2 separate regions of the Mus musculus genome follow, and region 1 is reported to be linked to region 2. The links are microRNA targets in miRTarBase. Many come from high-throughput screens and were not tested one by one. Region 2 holds a microRNA gene; the other region holds the end of a gene's coding sequence.
Evidence for each region. The annotated mature microRNA mmu-miR-208a-3p reads AUAAGACGAGCAAAAAGCUUGU and lies in region 2 at 2,233-2,254, shown strand. An mRNA with a match to its seed (bases 2 to 7 or 8) in the 3' UTR can be bound and repressed. Matches are read on the target gene's strand: a 7mer-m8 pairs with bases 2 to 8, a 7mer-A1 pairs with bases 2 to 7 and ends in A, and an 8mer does both.

Region 1: the mRNA of Cramp1l is a reported target of mmu-miR-208a-3p. The part of its 3' UTR that is shown has no 7-base or 8-base seed match.

Annotation. Positions count from the first base shown.
Region 1 is chr17:24,962,300-24,965,299 of GRCm38, reverse strand. It overlaps Cramp1l (cramped chromatin regulator homolog 1), which reads left to right. Exons shown (of 21, transcript NM_020608.3): 21 at 354-3,000. The coding sequence ends at 518. Among named protein-coding and RNA genes, the nearest start is that of Jpt2, 3.2 kb to the right of the region's middle.
Region 2 is chr14:54,947,808-54,951,325 of GRCm38, reverse strand. It overlaps Mir208a (microRNA 208a), which reads left to right and starts at 2,184; the gene lies at 2,184-2,266. It overlaps Myh6 (myosin, heavy polypeptide 6, cardiac muscle, alpha), which reads left to right. Exons shown (of 39, transcript NM_001164171.1): 26 at 673-1,062; 27 at 1,148-1,274; 28 at 1,363-1,481; 29 at 1,792-1,988; 30 at 2,531-2,714; 31 at 2,869-3,034; 32 at 3,121-3,245. Gm52092 (a long non-coding RNA gene) reads right to left here and starts at 286. Exons shown (of 3, transcript XR_003950992.1): 1 at 1-286.

The DNA of each region.
Region 1 (3,000 bases), not on the chromosome of region 2:
GTGTGAGGCCCTGATGCTTTAGGGACCCTCATTAACTGTTGTTTGCTTTGATCTCTGCCTTCTCTTGTCACTGTTGGCCCTTCTGTGACTCTCTTCCTCATGAGTATCAGATGGAGTTGCTGCTACTATATTCTCAGTATCGAGGTGTTTCATGTTCTCAGAGGCTTTCCCAGGGGCTTGTGCAGAGTATGTTCTTACAAAAAAGTTCATGTGGTTAGACCACAAAGGATTCCAAAATTCCTCATAGAGCAGTTGGCTCCTTCCACTGACATTCTGCTCTGGGGGTCAAGAGCCTCTCTCTGGATGGTAAGCCGTCCTCAGACTAATGTCTCCTTGTCCCTTCTGTCCTACAGGTGGTGGATTCCCAGTTGGTGTGCATGATGAACGAGAACAGCATTGACTACATATCTCGGTTTAATGACCTGGCCCAAGAATTGTCCATCACTGAGCCTGGCCGCCGGGAGGTTCTTTTTGATGGTGGAGGAGGTGGTAATCCTGTTGGTGACCTCTCTCAGTGACTATGCTTTGTGACACGGGCATCGTGGAATCCACAAAGGAGGTCTACGGAGCTGGTCCCATGAATCTGTCTGCACAGTAGAGAAAGTCAAGCCCAGAATCCTGAGAAGACAGTGAACAGGAGCACCTCTAACAGCATAACAATATCCACATGCAAAGGACAGCCTGTGCAACAAGTAGGGGTTGTACCATCCACAGAAGCCAGGACAGCTGACCCGAGAAGGGTAGACCTCAGAAATCCTTTTGGTATCAGAGCCCTTGAAGTCCTGTAGCCTGTGTGGCGTCCTGACTGTATGTCTGTCTGTGTGTTGAGCCTTCCAGGGGGTCTCCTCCTTGCAAGAGGAGTTCATTTGCCTGGTGTTCATTTTGTCTTTGGAGCTGTTATCCATGCGAAGGGAGGCCATAGCCACTGCTGCTTTCTTTCTGATATCTTTTTTCCACTTGGCTGTTCTGTCTGCAGTGATGTTGCAAGGGACTGTGAGTATAGTCCAGTCTATTGCCTGGTGGTATCTTCAACCTAAGATACTTCCTGGTTGCCTTGACCATGAAGCAGAGAAGGGTCCCAGAGCCATGTAGATAATGGTATCTTCCCAAGACTACTTAGCCCTCAACTAGTGCTTCCTACCCAAACCATCCAGAGGTGTGGTTCTGCCTGGCATGAGGAAGGGGGAAGAAATTTTGTTTCTTGGAGCTTGTATGGATGTTTTGTATGGTCTTTCAAAGCTGGTTGGGAATGGCTTTCTTGCGGTTTAAGAATTGAGAGATATGGACAAGGAATAGTAAGAGTCCTTTATTTAGGTGGCTCTGCTTTCTACCTATGCTTAATGCCTAGTTCCTTCTCTCTCTCTCTCTCTCTCTCTCTCTCTTTCTTTCTTTCTTTCTTTTTTTTTTTTGGTTTTTTGAGGCAGGGTTTCTCTGTGTAGTCCTGGCTGTCCTGGAACTCACTTTGTAGACCAGGCTGGCCTTGAACTCAGAAACCCGCCTGCCTGTGCCTCCCAAGTGCTGGGATTAATGTTGTGCGCCACCACTGCCCAGCCTAGTTCCTTCTAAGTGATCTGAGATACCATTTCTCTCTAATGGCCTGACCCTACCCCAACCCCCAAATGCACTGCAATGTCTACAGATTTTATCCACACTTAAAATTTCATGTGTTATTGCTGGTATCTGAGGGGTGTCTTTGCCCCAGGCTATCTCTCTTCCTATTCTGGGACCCAAGCCAGGTTTAGATGTCAGGGTGTAGGAAGAGCTCACAGCTTGATGATGTTTTAGCAGCCCTCTTCAGGAGCCCAGAGGTGGTCAGTCAGTTGTCATGCTCAGGCCATCGGACTCAGAGTGGTGCCAAAAATACTTCCATTCCCCTTCTTTGCCCTTTAGTAGATTCTTGTAACATGGTCACTCTTGCTGGACCTAGCATATCAGGTAGCCATGGCTATTTCTTGTTGAACAGGTGACCCCTGTGCTAGCCACGTCACTGCTCACTCTCCACATGCTAGCCAGGGCTGACACCCCTCCCACCCCACCCCACCCCACTCCACCCCCTTTCCTTTTTCTTCTGAGACAGGGTTTCTCTGTATAACCCTGCTATCCTATAACTTGATTTATAGACTGAGTTGGCTGGAGATCTACCTGCCTCTACCTCCTGAGTGCTGGGCTGAAAGTAATGTGCTACCACACCAAGCTTGGCAGGTCCTTGTAACTCCTAAAGCTGCCACCTCTGTTTTCCAGCTGTTCTAGCCTCCTTCCTTGCACAGTAGTACTTAAGATCATCCTAGGCCCTTACGTCTCTCTGTCTGCAATGAAGAAAGGGATGGGAATGTCCTTTTGGGACACTTGATCCAGTTGCCTCTCTGGCTACTACAAACCCTAGAGTGCAGGCTCTGCTCCAAAGACCGTATAGGGCTCTGGTACTGGTGAAGGATCTGTCCCAGATGCTGACATGCAGACCCCACATCTGGTAAGAGTCAGACTGTTAGATGAGAAGCGCAAGCATATGGTGCCGTCAAGAGACTGTGGTAAGGTAGCCAATGTGTCTCTACCCAGTTGTGTGCTTTCAGCAATGCCTTACTTAGCTGAAGGCATTTAGATCTTGGGACTGTAGCCTGTACCAGGCTAGGCTCAGGCCACTGCTAGCTGCTCTTCCTGTGTTTCAGGTAGACTCTCCCACAACATTAATAAGCATGGGTGCTTGTAGAATCCTGGTAACTGCGCATGTAGAACTAGGTAGTTGGGCTCTTAAGCTGGTTTCCATGAGGCAGTGAATGCTGTAGGCACATGTTAGTCTGTGCCGGCTAAAAGGAGTTGAGACGTCTTGAGGAGCAGAGACTACAGCCCTTGTCTCCCAGTAGCAAGCGGCATCAGATGGACTGGTGCGTTACTGTAAGGAAGCTGACAAGATTCCAGAAGGTTCTTCACCAGCCATACTGGTTTGCTCATCATCGCCACATTAAAGGACAAATGGTGGCATTTGTAGCAGAGAATCAGTGG
Region 2 (3,518 bases):
TCTAAGGCCACACCAATGAGGTAGGGGTATGAAGAAGAGGGCATCTTATTGATACATAGCTTGGCTTGGAAAGGAGCAATCAAGCTACATCCTGGACCTAGGATACCTAAGGAATCCATGACATGGGGAATCTAGGTGATTAGACCTCATGGTTAGCTCAGATAATTGCAGTAGGATTTGGTTGTTCTTGAGGCAGCTTTGCTACAAATGTTAGTTTAAAAAAACAAAAAACAAAAAAAAAACCAAAAAAACAAAAAAACAAACAAAAAAAACCGAGTGCTCATTTCCTTGCCTTATAGTCAGTGGATCAGAGTCAGGTGAAACTGTTGGCTGTCTGAGGTTCATAATCTCAGGAGATCTCAGGATCCCGCTCCAAACACAGATGCTCAACACTTAGGCTGCAGATGCTCAAACTGAATCTCAGATGCTTTAGGGAAATCCTCCAAACTTTGGCTTCGGCCAATTTTCTATTCTAGGGTGTTTAGCAATGTCCCTTGCTTCTATAGCATCCTCCACACAGTTTAAAATGTCTCCAGCCATCACCAGCTATACCTAGTAGCTGAAAACCCGTGCTAGAGGTTTAGTGCGCATGGGAGCCTTTTAGAGCCCTGGAGCACGGGCCTCAAGGGAGGGGTCCAGGAAGCAGGTCTGATCCTTTGTATCCCTGGCTAGGCACGCATCGAGGAGCTGGAGGAGGAGCTGGAGGCAGAGCGCACAGCCCGGGCTAAGGTGGAGAAGCTGCGCTCTGACCTGTCCCGGGAGCTGGAGGAGATCAGTGAGAGGCTGGAGGAGGCAGGCGGGGCCACATCCGTGCAGATAGAGATGAATAAGAAGCGCGAGGCCGAGTTCCAGAAGATGCGGCGGGACCTGGAGGAGGCCACGCTGCAGCACGAGGCCACGGCGGCGGCCCTGCGCAAGAAGCATGCTGACAGCGTGGCGGAGCTGGGCGAGCAGATCGACAACCTCCAGCGGGTGAAGCAGAAGCTGGAGAAAGAGAAGAGCGAGTTCAAGCTGGAGCTGGATGACGTCACCTCCAACATGGAGCAGATCATCAAGGCCAAGGTGGGCCCTCTCAGCAGCTCCCCTCCTCCCTGCCAGTCGTGGCCCTTTCCACATTCACCTTTCCTCTGCTCATTAATGCCTGCAGGCCAACCTGGAGAAAGTGTCCCGGACACTGGAGGACCAGGCCAATGAGTACCGCGTGAAGCTGGAAGAAGCCCAGCGCTCCCTCAATGACTTCACCACACAGCGAGCCAAGCTGCAGACAGAGAACGGTGGGTGCCCCTTACCGTCCCCTAGCCTGCCCCTGGTAGCTTTGGTTTCCCCCTTCCATGGCCCAAGAACCCTTCATTCCACCTGCAGGGGAGTTGGCTAGGCAACTGGAAGAAAAGGAGGCATTGATTTCCCAGCTGACCCGAGGCAAGCTCTCCTACACCCAGCAGATGGAGGACCTCAAGAGGCAACTGGAGGAGGAAGGCAAGGTGAGGCCCATATAATGGCAGTGGGACAGACTCCGTGGCATCACTGGACACACTGTTACCTCCAAGAGTGCACCTGGATGCCAGAGGTAACCTGGTAACCTATCTCCCTACTAAATGGTCAGCCCTCCTGATCATTTAATGACTCCTTATTGGTAAAGGAGAGAGGTAGGCAAATGGAAATCACTCAAAGACATTGAGACTCCACTTCATGTGGGTGAATCTGGGTCTTGACTGAAGTAAATACGCATAAGAATCTAGAGACTGGAGGGTTGGGTTTGCTCCAATCTCCTTGATGCCCACCTCTTCCCAGGCCAAGAACGCCCTGGCCCACGCACTGCAATCATCCCGGCATGACTGTGACCTGCTGAGGGAACAGTATGAAGAAGAAATGGAGGCCAAGGCTGAGCTACAGCGTGTCCTGTCCAAGGCCAACTCAGAGGTGGCCCAGTGGAGGACCAAGTATGAGACGGATGCCATACAGAGGACGGAGGAGCTGGAGGAAGCCAAGTGAGTCCACTGTGGCTGCCCCTGGATTTGCCAAGAGAATGGAGCAGAGCGTCTGCTGTGGAGACAGGCAGAGTAGATGCAGGAAAGAGCTTTGGGGTGGGAGAACAGAGGATGGGGAGACCTGGTGAGCCATGGGAGTGTTTGGTAGAAAGCCTGAGTCCTGCAACCTGTAACGCCTGGCTGGCCCTTGCTTACTTCCTTTGACGGGTGAGCTTTTGGCCCGGGTTATACCTGACACTCACGTATAAGACGAGCAAAAAGCTTGTTGGTCAGAGGAGCTATCATCATGCAGCCTGGGCCTGAGGGAAGCGGGTGGGGGTGCACAGTCACACAGATGTGATGTATGTGTGGGAGAGTCTGAGCAGCCTGTGATGGACGTCTCTGTTCTAGGCTCCAGTAGCCCTCACATCCTCTAGGCTGGGGTTCCAACATCTTAGGGAACTGTGGGGAGAAGCTGGGTCTTTCCCATCAACACTCGGAAGGAGGAGATCATCTCACGTCCTTGTGGCTCCAAGTACAGTCACATACATTCCCCTGGACAGGAAGAAGCTGGCTCAGAGGCTGCAGGATGCAGAGGAGGCAGTGGAGGCCGTCAACGCCAAGTGTTCCTCCCTGGAGAAGACCAAGCACAGGCTGCAGAATGAGATCGAGGACCTGATGGTGGACGTGGAGCGCTCCAATGCCGCCGCCGCAGCCCTGGACAAGAAGCAGAGGAACTTTGACAAGGTAGGCTCACGGTGGGGCTGCAGACACTGTGCATGCTGCTGGTGGGGTCAGTGCCAGCTCAAGGCCACAGCATGTTCCTTGGAGGTGGGGGAGGAGGGCTGAGTCAGGAGAGGGGCCTGGGCAGTTCTGGTCACAGGGCGCTCCTTCCCTGCAGATCCTGGCTGAGTGGAAGCAGAAGTATGAGGAGTCGCAGTCAGAGCTGGAGTCTTCCCAGAAGGAGGCGCGCTCCCTGAGCACAGAGCTCTTCAAGCTCAAGAACGCCTATGAGGAGTCTCTGGAGCACCTGGAGACCTTCAAGCGGGAGAACAAGAACCTCCAGGGTGGGCGAGCTGGGGGACAGGGAAGAGCCTCAGGGAAAGGGAAGTGGGGCAAGGCATATTGATCTTTCTGGTCCTCTGATCCTCAGAGGAGATCTCAGACCTGACTGAACAGCTGGGAGAAGGGGGGAAAAACGTGCACGAGCTGGAGAAGATCCGCAAACAGCTGGAGGTGGAGAAGCTGGAGCTGCAGTCAGCCCTGGAGGAGGCTGAGGTAAGGGCCTAACTAGGCACTCTCCAGCCTGTCCTGCTGTATCCTGTCTTACCGCCTCACAGAAGTCACCCTGACCCCAGGACACAAATCTATTGGCTCCCATTCTTAGTAGACAGTCACCATGGGTATTCTTAGATACCCAGGAACAATGACTTCCCCCAAAGTTGAGTTCCTCACATTGTACAATGCCACAGTCTGGTTTGTAGGACAGAAGGCTTGCTTGCTTCCTGGCTGGAATCGGGCTATCATAATATCAGCTCAAACCACTGGGTA